Linked DNA regions of Lytechinus pictus. The protein of the gene in region 1 purifies or fractionates together with the protein of each later gene. This does not show direct contact. Links are inferred from orthologs where the notes say so. Each region holds a gene or a part of one and is shown on either strand. Other genes may lie near its edges.

Evidence for each region. The genes of interacting proteins can lie anywhere in the genome.
Region 2: the proteins of pyruvate dehydrogenase E1 component subunit beta, mitochondrial-like (region 1) and pyruvate dehydrogenase protein X component-like purify together in Homo sapiens (affinity purification with mass spectrometry; 4 studies listed by BioGRID and IntAct, counting the BioPlex papers as one, with this or other methods). This does not show direct contact. The link is inferred for Lytechinus pictus from reciprocal best matches to the Homo sapiens genes PDHB and PDHX.

What each region holds. Positions count from the first base shown.
Region 1 is NC_087247.1:29,769,503-29,776,705, reverse strand, and holds the start of pyruvate dehydrogenase E1 component subunit beta, mitochondrial-like, read left to right. Parts: upstream 1-4,165; 5' UTR 4,166-4,210; coding exon 4,211-4,246; intron 4,247-4,344; coding exon 4,345-4,404; intron 4,405-7,203. UniProt on the Homo sapiens protein: The pyruvate dehydrogenase complex catalyzes the overall conversion of pyruvate to acetyl-CoA and CO(2), and thereby links the glycolytic pathway to the tricarboxylic cycle.
Region 2 is NC_087253.1:21,265,119-21,272,336, forward strand, and holds the start of pyruvate dehydrogenase protein X component-like, read left to right. Parts: upstream 1-4,170; 5' UTR 4,171-4,328; intron 4,329-7,218.

The DNA.
Region 1 (7,203 bases):
CTTAAATAAACTTCTTTATTATTATGATAAAAACGTGCCATTACTAAGAGTTAAATCGAGCAAAAAGAAGAACAAACAACCGTGGGTTACACAAGGTATAATTAAATCCATATTTACTCGGAATAGACTCTATAAAATATCCATTAAATCGCCTACAATTCAAAACATAAATAAATACAAAAAATTCCGCAACAAATTAATTTCAGTTATCCACCTAGCTCGCAAATCTTACTTTTCTGATAAAATTGAAAATAACAAAGATAATAAAAATTCATTATGGAAATCTGTAAATGAGATATTAGGTAAGAAAAAAGAAAGCTATGATAACATTAATTTCGTAGAAAATGGACAACACTTGCGAAACCCAAGTGATGTTGCTAATGCCTTTAATAACTTCTTCAATAATATCGGTCCAAATTTAGCTTCAAAAATAGTATCTAATGATAATGACTTTTCTTAATACTTAAACGACTTTCCGGAAAATTCTTTATTTTTTAATCCGACTAATACTCATGAGATCTTAGAAATTGTTAGGTCTTTGAAACCGACTAAATCTTCAGGGCATGATGGAATAAGTGTCTATTTATTAAAACAAATAATTCACTTTATAGCTTCACCGCTCATGCATATTTTTAACCTTTCTCTGTATCATGGCATTGTTCCCGATCTACTTAAGATTGCAAAAATAATACCAATATATAAGAAAGATGACCCATGTCTTACTTCCAACTACCGACTAATATCTTTATTACCGAGTATATCTCTAAAAAAATTTAAAAGTAGTTTACAAGCGATTGTATTCCTTTTTGAACAATAATAATATATTAATTCCAAATCAATATGGTTTTAGAGAGAATCATTCAACCGATTATGCTATTTTACAATTATTCGACAAAATATCTGATTCTCTCTCTAAAAAAGAACACACTGTTGGGATTTTTATGGATCTATCGAAAGCATTCGATACAATGGATCACCGCATTTTACTTTGTAAATTAAAGAGATATGGAATCAGGGGGGTGGTTTTCACTTGGTTCAAAGATTACTTAAGTAATCGACGCCATTATGTTTCTTTCAAATAAAAAACATCCTATATTTGTACCATGAAATGTGGAGTACCACAAGGATCGATGTTAGGTCCCTTGCTATTTTTGATTTATATGAATGATATTGTAAATGCATCTCGAGAATTAACATACGTTTTATTTGCAGACGATACAAATGTCTTCTATTCCCACAAAGACTTAAATATACTCGTCCCGACACTTAATTTAGAATTAAAGAAATTATCAAAATGGTTTAAAGCTAATAAACTCTCCCTAAATATAAGCAAAACAAATTTTATGTATTTTAAACACATTCAAACTAAACATATGTTCCTTAATATATACATAGATGACATACCTATCATTGAAAAACAAGAAACCAAATTTTTAGGTGTATGGATTGACTCAAATTTAACCTGGAACAGTCACATTCACAATATTTGCATGATGGCATCCAGAGGAATAGGAATTTTGTTTAGATTAAAATATTATCTCTCCAAAAAATCATTATGCTTTATAATTCGTTCGTTTTATCCCACTTATCTTACTGCAACTTAGTATGGGGGTATAGTAGTAAGGTAAAAATAGAAACGATTTTCCGTCTCCAAAAGAAAGCACTCCGCATATGTACTCATTCACATTTCATTGCACATACTGATCCAATATTTCACAACTTAAAGACATTGAAAATTGAAGATATTAACATTTATCAAACGGCCATATTTATGTTTAAATATTCATCCAATATTATCCCGATTCCATTTCGCAATTTTTTTGTTTACAACAAAGACATTCACAAATATCCAACACGACATTCAACAGATCTTCACTTAACCAACCCAAGAATATTACTCGCTCATAAGACGATACGCCACCATGGCCCAGATATTTGGAATGCATTGCCACATGATATTAAACAATGTACATCTCTCTATTCGTTTAAAGCTTCGTTGAAAAAAATTCTTATTTCTAAGTATACCTAATTTGATTCACCTGCACTCACCCACATGCACACACTTGCACTTCTTTTAACCATTTTTTTCTACTAATATATATATTTTTTAAAATCTTATATTTCGTGACGATCAATTTATCAAATATGATTTATGATGGTTTTCATGTAGCCCCCTCTCCTGGCTGCTATTGCTTCAAGCACCTCTGTGCTTATAATAGCTGGCCCCTGTATTTTACCGAACTATATCACATGCTTAGGTATGATTTAACTATCAGTCTTTTCTGTATTATTTACAATGTATCTCTTTAATTGTCACATTTAAATTGTATTCATTCAATTATGTGAACATGTTAATTTATCATTGATTTATGAATAAAATGCAGAAACTCCTGCAAAAAAACAACAACAACAACGAGGTCAAACGATGAATCAACATACCCATAACACACTGCACCCGCCCCGAAGAGTGCCCCCAATGCAAGTGCCGCCACTTTGGGGTTGTCCTTAAGAAATTGAAAAACTGTATCAATTTGTTTCTCCATTCTCCCGAAAATAGATTATCCTGTTGAAAGAAAATAAAACAACTTCGCCTTTGAATTATTAGGGAGTCAAAACCGGTAACAAGAGTTTTAATTATTGTTTGTCTTCTTGCCATCCAGCTGCTATCTGCGCGGCTATCTTGGAAACGACTGAACTACGTCATCAATGAGAGAAAGAGACATGCGCAAAAAGAAAGCGCACAGCGGCTGGTTATATATAGCTCTATGAGAAATACCAAGCGCAGATTCCCGAATACCTTTCTTCTGAAATTTCCAGCGTTAAGTTTGCTTTTTCTCTTTTCATTCAATTCAACTTTTTTGAAGGATGGCCTAAGGATTTCACGAAGCCCGTAATTGGAAAGTTTAGTACTTTATGCCAAAGCAAAAGATCAATAGAGAACTTACGTGCGTATATTATTTCAACTTACAAAACACCTCCAAAGAATACATATAAAAATGAAACCATTTCAGCTAGGATCAAAAGCATTCATCATGGTTGGACTGAAATACACACACATGGTGCACTTCATCTCACTAACTATTATCTGCCATCATATCAAAAACATTAAATCACACTAAGAAACGGATGCTTAAAACGTTTACACATGCACACTTCCTATAAAAAACTTTTACCATTGAAAATCGTTGCATCTCTTATATTATATTGTTTTTTGTGAAGAAAAGAATATTCAACATACAAGTAAAAAAAATTTACTTGAATTCCAAATCCAATTTTTAGGGGTACAACACTAACAAAAAATTTGACTTTTTATATATTAATTTATCCTGTTTTAAATTCAAAGATCAGTCCTTCAAGTACCCCCCCCCCAAAAAAAAAATGCAGGAAAGCCCTGTCTAATCATGGTGATCAAAATGCAACCTTGTACAGAATAGCATAATGATAAAACATTATAATAAGTCAATAGAATATTAATGATTGCAAGAAAACATTAAAATGAATAGTAACACAAGGCATTTTTTTTGCTCAGTACAAAATACATGGATTCCAACCCAAAGCAGGGGCGGCGATCCTGGGGCGGGGGCACAGTGCCCCCCCCCCCCCCAACTTTTTGAAGCACTGAAAAGTGCCTTTTTATGCAAGAAAAATGCCCCCTCACAAACGTGTACTGTGCCCCTTTCATCGAAGGAGGACCAGATTAGGTGATACCAATTTCCCCTTTCTCGTATAAGTGCCAATTTTTTTTCTCTCCAAAAAATGATGCCCCCTCATGGACACCTGAGAAGGACCAGTTTTATCGTTTTTTCGTGCCCGATGAGCGCCCGGTCTCTTAACATTTAGCGCCGTTTTGCTTCCTTCATGAAAATCTTGCAAAAGTAATCCTTCGTGCCTTAAATACACTGGGGTTAAATTTCATTTAACAAAGTTAAACTCCCCCCCCCCCCCGGCCCCCCTAGCGAAAAAAATTCTGCATACGGCCATGTTTAAGATAGTGCCCTTTTCGAAAGAAAAGGTGCCCTTTTTCCCTGTGCCCCCCCCCCCTCCCACTTTTAACTTCGCTCCGCCGCCCCAGACTCAAAGTATTCCACCCCCTCTGGTTTACTCCAAACAGTGATGATGAAGAAAATGATAAAAATTCCAAATAAAAAAATATCAATTTCTCTCTGGATCGTGAGCGCGATCGCGAGAGGGCGCTAATGCATTCAACAAAATGGCTCTTGCTGGAAAGCTGCGGCTTGCTCGGAAGGTAAAATAGAGATCTACAGATCATTTTTTTCTCTTTTATCGGTTCTAAAAAAGCCTTTTAATCGTTATTGATATATTCTATTATATATTATATTTCAGATAATCCCAAGTCCCTTTGCTAGAAGATGTCTGGGTACTTCTTCCCCGGCTTCTGCTCAGGTGAGTTGATTTCTCCTCTGGTTTCTCCACTCCAGTCGCGTCACTGAAAATTGCATCGCGATCGACAAAGCTGCTCCAAAAAAGAGTCCAAGCTCTCTCCCGGCTACTCACGCTGTCGCTGCTAATAGTACCTTGGTCACATTTGTTCTACGACGGCCGTACGGCGAGTCGAAAACAGCCGTTTTAACATTTTGTGTACCAACTACATATAGGTGGTTTGAATTAAAATTAATTAAACGGCTGTTTTCGACTCGACGTACGGCCGCCGTAGATCAAATGTGACCAAGGTATAACTCCATCCAGGAAACTTCGCTATGGCTATGCTGCGAACTGGCAAAATCCTGAACTTAAGGGGTGAGGGTGTCTGTGTACCTGGCGTCCCCCTACTCAAAAAAGTAGGGGGGACACAATATCAAATGTCCCCCCTACTTTTTTGGTCTTTTTTGATGAAAAGAATTAGGCCTACATCATTCAAAATCGAAATAAAACATGGATGTATTTGGACGAGATGACCTTACTTTTAGTTTTGGGGTCATAACCTTTTTTTTTTTGCTCGTCAAATTTTCCAGCCCTTGTCCCCCCTACCGTTTGGGAGAGATTTCGGCATAATCGTGATATAGTCCCCAAATCCCAAAATGGGGACTATTAGAATCACACCTACCAAACTCTCGCACAGCTCGAGAACTTGCGAAATGATGAAAACACACACAAATGAAACACACACCTGGGTTCTCTCCCTATTATATACTCATGATACAGTCCCCACTCTACGGTAAATCAAGTTTGATTTTCACGGCGGTGGGGACAGTTTCAACAGTATAGTATACTCGTGATACAATCCCCACGCTATGGGATACACATTTCGTTTGGCACGCAGTGGGGATAGCTCCAACAGTATATTATACTCGTGATACCGTCCCCTCACAACATAAAATCGTGCTCGTTCGACAAGGGGATGGGGACAGTTTCCAAGTGCAACGTGACAAGGAAGACTCATTCAAAACCTTCGGGAATTATTATTATTATTGTCTCATCATATTATATCATTTTATCATAATAATTATTATTTTATCATAATTATTATTATTGTTATTTAATCATAATTATTATTATTGTTATTATCATTATTATTTAATCATAATATCAATATTATTATTGCTATTTATCATTATTATTATTGTCAATATTATCATTATCATTATTAATGTCATTATTATTACTATCATCATATATTATTATTGCTATTTATCATTATTATTATTGTCAATATTATCATTATCATTATTAATATCATTATTATTATTACTATCATCATATATCAGTATTATTTAATCATAATTATCATTATTATTATTGTTATTATTCTGTTTCTGTTTGTTTCTGTTTGTGGTAACTCCCGTAGGAACTCGGCAGGACAGCATTTTGCTGGTATATAACCAATTACCTTGGAAACATTTTACGTCTAGATTAATCAGTCAGAGTGGCTGACGTAATAGACGACAGATATCACTCTTGGGCCTTTTTATCAAAGTGGAGACAATGGCAGAGTTGGGATTCGAACTCACAACCTTGCGATTATGAGTCCAATGCTCTAACCACTGGACCACATATTATTTAATCATAATTATCAATATTATTATTGCTATTTATCATTATTATTATTGTCAATATTATCATTATCATTATTAATATCATTATTATTATTACTATCATCATATATCATTATTATTCTTTATTATTGTTGTTGTTATTATTATTATTACAATAATGATGATAATATAATAAATTATTATATCATCATTATTATTATTATTCATTATCATTGAAAATGTGCCCCTTCCATCTCTTCCGTTCCTTGTATTTCATTTAATTCCTTCAAATGAAATCACTGTAGACTCATATCGTTTGGGTATAAATTATCATAATTATTATCATCATTGGCATCATTTTCATTATTGTTGGTATTATTATTGAAAGAGTCACCCCCAAAACATTAAAGTAATCAATACAAATATGTGACGGAAATAAAAAGTAAAGTAATGATAACAACAATGATGGGGATGATGATAATAAAGATTAAAAACAATAATGATGTTGATAATAATTATGATAAAGGTTAATAATAGAAAATAACAATAATAATAATTATTATAAAAATGATAAATAAAATATAAATGATTTTAACAAAAAATAAGGATAACAATAATAAGTAAAAAATAAATAAATACCATCAAAAATAATGACAATAATGATAATAATTACGATAATACCCAAAAGTTATGAATGAGTCTACAGTGATATCATTTGAAGGAATTAAATGAAATACAAGGAACGGACTGGATGGAAGGGGCACATTTCCTATGATAAAAAATAATGATAATAATAATTTCTTATACTATTATCACTATTATGATGATAATAATAACAACAACAAAGAATATTTATTATAATGATGATAGTAATAATGATATAATAAAAATAACAATAATAATAACAACAATGATAAAGAATAATGATTAATGATGATATGATAAAGAATAATAACCATAATAACAACAACAATAATAAAGAATAATAAAGAATAATAATGATATATGATGATAGTTATAAAAATAATGATAATAATAATAATTATATTAATGATAACAAAATATTGACAATAAGAATAATAATAATAAATAAAAACAACAATGATAAAGAATAATAATGATGTATGATGATGATAGTAATAATAACAATAATAATAATGATAATTATGATTAAATAACAATAGAATAATAATTATGATAAAAATGATAA
Region 2 (7,218 bases), on another chromosome or scaffold:
AGATTTGCAAACACAGGAACACACCTGTAAATCAAGCTTTGCAAGTTTCATAATAATGATTGTTATTTCATTTGTTTTGTAACTGCTATGTACACATGAAAAAATCTTATGCAATTATTTATATTTTGTAAATAGAACTTGACATGTTCCATATTGAATGTTATCAAATATCTTTTTATTATTTCTTGTTGTATTTTTCTGTGTTTGGATGATAATCAGAAAATTTATTTGTTTTAATTGATTTGATTTGCTTGCTTCTTATGGTGGTTGCCTGAATGGTATGGGACACCTGACAACATTCATGAAAATGTGATCGAGGTTCAAAGCTTCAGTACTCGGCCCACTGGGCACATTATAATTATATTCCAATGAGAGGTGATAACTGCATTAAATTTTACTGTATATGACAGAAATTTAAAATTATTTCCCCATGTCGCCTCGCACTGATACACAGAATGTTTTTATCCCAGGATAGCTTTGAAGCTGTTGAAACTAGGAATTATTTTTCAAGTTTCAAGGGTGTGGGGGGGGGGAGGGCATATCAACAAAGTGGAAAAGGACAACATACTACATGTATATAAGGATGTATTTATTTATTTCAGTTTTATTTATGCAGGGTAGCCCTTTCAGTTATAGAACTGATTTACAAAGAGGCCCTGCAACGATAAAAAGAACATATACATATTTTACAATGGACATATAAATAAGATACAATCATACAATGAAAATGTAGATGAATAAAGAATATAAAGAATATAAAAGGCCAATAAAATTCCAAACTCTTTCTTTTTTCTTGTACAACTTGGAATACAAATGCATATTATGATTTTTATCAGTGTATCATTATTATCATTATCATTGGCATGTATTTCTTTTCACTGAAAATTATTTTTATAATGTAATACATTATGATCAAATAGGAAACTCAAAACAAAAATCATTAAAAATCATGTCTGGGTATTATAGAACAAATGTATGCTGCTCCCAACACTTTCCATAGTTGCTAACAGTAATAACAAGTTTATCATATTAGAGCCTTGGAAGAGGTCACGAAAGTGTTTGCGGTATGATGATTAGTAAACAAACGAGTAGCTCGCTGGCATCAAGTGGTCTAGCGCCATCACATGTTGAAATACCATACAGCGTATCCTTATTTTGTTGGTAAATTGCCATTTCGCCTACAGCCAACTCGTACATTCAACACATGGTCTACCTTCTGGCTTCATTTAGTCTAATGCCATTCTGTCCATCAAAATTTCGTCTAACAACCATTTGGTCCAATAACCAGTTGGTCCAATCATCACTTCGTCTAATCACCATTTCATCTATGACCATTTCGTCTCATAACCAGTCGGGTCTAAAAAAAATTTATTTTCATTCCTTTCGCCCAATTAGACCAAATGGCATATGGATTTATGGCTATTGGACCAACTGGTTATAAGACGAAATGGTGAGTAGACGAAATTGTAATTAGATAATCTGGATAGTGGACGAACTGATGTTAGACCACATGATAGTAGACGAGTTAATTGGACGAATTGGCATTAGACGAATTGAAAAATACCGGGGGACTATGGGGGCTATATAATGGGAAGGGAGTAAGTGAACCAAGTACCTGGAAAACCTTATCGGGGGACATAAATCATTTGACAACTGAAAAAAAAATCAAACGTCTACGCAATTTGCAGGTCCACTCTCCAATCAAAAACTTTCCTCCAATCAAAAAAAAAAAGTCATCCCGGCCGGAATCCAGAATGCTAATTGGAGCTAGGTGCCTAATTGTTTTCTTCTTCTTCTTCTTCTTTTTTAGAGTATTACCGGTCATGCATGCACCCCCACCACCACCACCATAAAAAAAAGTGAAGAAAAATGCTTGACCGATGGGGCCGGATGGGGGTGGAACACCAACATTACAAATTTTCGACGATCCTTCACGGTCTTTGTCAGGAGTAATTGACAACGATTGATCTGATCATTTTCATTTACTCCTGACAAAGACGAAGGGTCGTTGACAAATTGAGGCTTTTGATAAAAATAACTTGATTTGCTTTGTTATCACTGAAGCCAATACGTGAAACTAAAAGTTACTAACTTTGTTTGGAAGCACTGCTGATAAGGAAGGTGACCAATGAAAGCAATTGATTTATTGAAAATATTTTCATATTTCTAAATTGGTTTACCATTATCATTAAACAAAGCAACATAAACATGATAATTATAGTTCTTGTAAAAATCTCATATATAGACTCATAGTATAGGTCCACATGAATGGTATTTTGCAAAGTCACGCTTAAACAAGTGACAAGTTTAATGAAAACGAACCCCACGGGTGGTGTCAGGGCAAGTGTCAGGGTGATTTGGAGGGAAATGGAGTGGTAAGATCTGGGGAGCGTTTCATGAAAGGACTTGTCGGACGTTTTATCCGACAAGTCCTGTTTTATCCGACAGTTACTATAGTAACAGTGCTTCTCAACCAATCAGAATCCAGGAAAGTTGTCAGATCTGACAACTTGTCGGACGAAAATATTGATGAAACGCCCCCCTGGGGACCGTTTCATTAACATTTTTGTCTGACAAGTTGTCAGATCTGACATCTTTCCTTGATTCTGATTGGCTGAGAGGTACTGTTGCTATGGTAACTGTCGGATAAAACGTCCGACAAGTCCCATTTTATCCGACAGTTACCATAGCAACAGTACCTCTCAGCCAATCAACATCAGAGAAAGATGTCAGATCTAACGACTTGTCGGATGAAAATGTTGACGAAACACTCCCCAGGCTTCTCACTTTAATCACAGGGGTATAGAAAAAGAAATTACAGTTACAAGACCAATACCTCTTTATTTTATACTAATTTTTTCTTCTTCCTTCCTCTTTCTTTCTCTCCTTTTCTCTAATTGAAAATGATAGGGGGAGGGGTTCATGCACCCTGCACTCCTACCCGTAAAGCGCATCCCCTATTTAATGTTCCATGAGGAATTGAATTAAATGTTCAATCATTGGAGAAAAATATATCTACATTTGATATTGCATGTATAATTCAAGTTATAGTCATAGAATTTAAAGGGGTGGGGGGGGGGGGGAATATATTAAAAATAGAGATAGATGAAGAGAAAGATGCCCATGCAGGACGGGGAAACCATACCGCAACAACAAAAACAACAACAAAAATAATAAAAATAAATAAATAAAATAAAATAAATAAAATGAAAAAATATTAATGAAAAAAAATGATAAATCAGTAATTGATTTGCAAATTTATTGGAGCATGGTTATTTGGCAGGATACCTGCCACAGTGACAACTGTCCTATTGTATAGTTCAAAAGTAAATTTCTGTTAGGGTCTTGAATTAACACTTTTCATACGACCAGTTTTTTATCATGTGAATGACACGGGTATATAGATAGATAGCCCCTATAAGCTGACATAACATGGTTCTTTTTAATTCGTTCTTCCCAGAGTTAACAGAAGCGGATCTAGAGGGGGGGTTGGGGGGGTTGCAACCCCCCCCCAAAAAAAATCCGGGGACCATTTTTTTAAATCTTATCTTTTTTTTTAAACTTGTAAAGCAAGAAAACGCCATTTTCACACACAGATTTTCAAAAATTTTCCCTACTGTGGGAGGGGGGACACTCCCCTCCCACACCCTCCCCCCTCGCTCGCTCCGCTCGCTTGGACTCGGTCGCTACGCTCCCTCGTATACCACCCCAACCCCCCCCTTTATAAAAAGCTGGATCCGCCCCTGGTTAATAGCTCGTTCATTCGACTTATAAAATTATTTGTTCCTATATACTATAGCTGCACCTTGGTCCCTTGACTTCCCAGCTCGACTTGTAACTATAAGTCAAGGGAATTTGCGAAAAAGTTTAGGGAACAAAATAAGTAAACTTATTTCGTGGGAACAAGTTCCATTTTTCCGCCCCTAGTTTTATAACAGCTGTCCCCATATTTAGCAACACCCCCCCCCCCGTAACCTAATTTCAAACCGGAAAAAAAAATTGAATTAAAATTCTTGGTCTCGGGGTTCATTTTATTGTTGTTGTTGATAGGGTGTTGTTATTTGGTGATATATTCCCTATTACTCACCAGTACCCCCCCCCCGTGCCCCGACTACTCCCGTACGAAACGGTACGATCGCTCGATCGATCGAGCTCGCGTCCTCGCGATCCATCCAGGCTAGAATTAAAGATGGCGAGTGTTGGAGCCTCCGCATTGCGGAGCGGTTTATCGAGACGAATAGGCGCAATATTGTCTTCAAATCTTCGTCCAAGGGTTGCCACAAGTTATTGTGATAAGAGGAATGTTTCTTTGACACCAGAATGTTTTGGTGAGTTGAATTTATCAAAGCTTGTCTTGCAAAATCGGATCGCGATGTGTCGATGTGAAATGAACTTACGCGAAATAATACGTGTGGGACCGTAGTAAATATTGGTAGGGGCTTTTGATAAAAAATGTATCTCCCTCGTAAAAAAGACCCTTTACTCTGCATTCGGAGCCTGTAAGTTGGATAGGACTAGTAGTAATGGGATGATGTCTGTGTTTTGTAGCATAGCATAAAAAATGCAGATTTAGGAACAACTGCAGAATACCCGGACACTGCGTTACCTTATCGTTGGAGAGCCAACGCACAACGATGTATGATGGGGGGACCTAAAGCTACGCACATTGTTTTCAAACAATAAAAACTATCCCAATTTTAATATTTCAACAAATATCTTTCACTAATTTGTGGCAAACATTCTAAAGATCATTAACCAAGAAGAAAATATCGCAAAACTCCCTAATACGAAAATCCCGCCGTGTTATCCGAACACCTCTTGATTTCGCCACCCGATGTAGAAGGGGTCCTAAAGCTACGTACTCGATTTATCATGTAAAAAAATAGTATTTCCTGTGCCTCAATTTCTAGAATACATTCATAATATTATAGGATAAAATGAAATTTAAGTGAATATAACTCCAAAATTCCAAAAAGTTTTTGGTTTTCTCTGCATTTAGAGATTTACTGCAGCCTCTGTAGAAAAAAATGATTAGGAATCATTCGTCACACTGCAGTCACAGTTCCACACACAGAGTGCGCATTTGCCATTAAAAACTGCATGCGCGATAAGTGGTGCGTAGCTTTAGGACCCGCGTAGCTTTAGGACCCCCTACCATACTGTCCGTAGTACAGGCCAACACTGCCCGCGATGCCAACGATCTATATATATATCTGTGTGCATCTGTAGTATGTAGGCCGACATTGCCCGCGATGCCAACGATGTGTATATTTTCGTAGTACGTGTAGGCCAACACAGTCCGCGATGGTAGCGGTGTGTTGGTGTCTGTAGTCGGTACAGGCCAACACTGCCCTCGATGCCAACGATCTATATCTGTGTTCTGTAGTATGTAGACCAACAGTGTCCGCGATGCCAACGATGTGTATATTTCCGTAGTATGTGTAGACCAACATTGCCCGCGATGCCAACGATGTGTTGGTGTCTGTAGTACAGGCCAACATTGCCCTCGATGCCAACGATGCGATCATATCTGTAGTTGCCTATGTAAACCAACATTGCCCGCCATGGCAACGATGTGTTGGTGTCTGTAGTACATGCCAACAGTGCCCGCGATGCCAACGATGCGATCATATCTGTAGTTTCCTATGTAGACCAACATTGCCCGCGATGCCAACGATGTGTTGGTGTCTGTACTGTACAGGCCAACATTGCCCTCGATGCCAACGATGTGAATGTATCTTTAGTAGGTATAGGCCAACAGCGCCCGCGATGCCAACGATGTGTTGGTGCCTGTAGTAGATGCCAACAGTGCCAACGATGCCAACAATGTAAATGTATCTTTAGTACGTATAGGCCAACAGCGCCGGCCAGGATGCCAACGATGTGTTGGTGTCTGTAGTATAGGCCAACCTTGCCCGCGATGCCAACGATGTGAATGTATCTTTTGTATGTATAGGCCAACAGCGCCCGCGATGCCAACGTTGTGTTGGTGCCTGTAGTAGATGCCAACAGTGCCAACAATGCCAACAATGTAAATGTATCTTTAGTACGTATAGGCCAACAGCGCCGGCCAGGATGCCAATTACGATGTGTTGGTGTCTGTAGTACAGGCCAACCTTGCCATCGATGCCAACGATGTGAATGTATCTTTTGTATGTATAGGCCAACAGCGCCCGCGATGCCAACGTTGTGTTGGTGCCTGTAGTAGATGCCAACAGTGCCAACAATGCCAACGATGTGTTGGTGCCTGTAGTAGATGCCAACAGTGCCAACGATGTGAATGTATCTTACATAGGCCAACATTGCCGGCGATGCCAACGATGTGAATATGCCTGTAGTAGAGGCCAACATTGCCGGCGATGCCAACGATGCGATCATATCTGTAGTTGCCTATGTAAACCAACATTGCCCGCCATGGCAACGATGTGTTGGTGTCTGTAGTACATGCCAACAGTGCCCGCGATGCCAACGATGCGATCATATCTGTAGTTTCCTATGTAGACCAACATTGCCCGCGATGCCAACGATGTGTTGGTGTCTGTACTGTAAAGGCCAACATTGCCCTCGATGCCAACGATGTGAATGTATCTTTAGTAGGTATAGGCCAACAGCGCCCGCGATGCCAACGATGTGTTGGTGCCTGTAGTAGATGCCAACAGTGCCAACGATGCCAACAATGTAAATGTATCTTTAGTACGTATAGGCCAACAGCGCCGGCCAGGATGCCAACGATGTGTTGGTGTCTGTAGTACAGGCCGACCTTGCCATCGATGCCAACGATGTGAATGTATCTTTAGTAAGTATAGGCCAACTTTGCCGGCGATGCCAACGATGTGAACGTATGTTTAGTATGTATATACCAACAGCGCCCGCGATGCCAACGATGTGTTGGTGCCTGTAGTAGATGCCAACAGTGCCAACGATGTGAATGTATCTTACATAGGCCAACATTGCCGGCGATGCCAACGATGTGAATATGCCTGTAGTAGAGGCCAACATTGCCGGCGATGCCAACGATGTGAATATGCCTGTAGTAGAGGCCAACATTGCCGGCGATGCCAACGATGTGAATGTATCTTTAGTAAGTATAGGCCAACTTTGCCGGCGATGCCAACGATGTGAATGTATGTTTAGTATGTATATACCAACAGCGCCCGCGATGCCAACGATGTGTTGGTGCCTGTAGTAGATGCCAACAGTGCCAACGATGTGAATGTA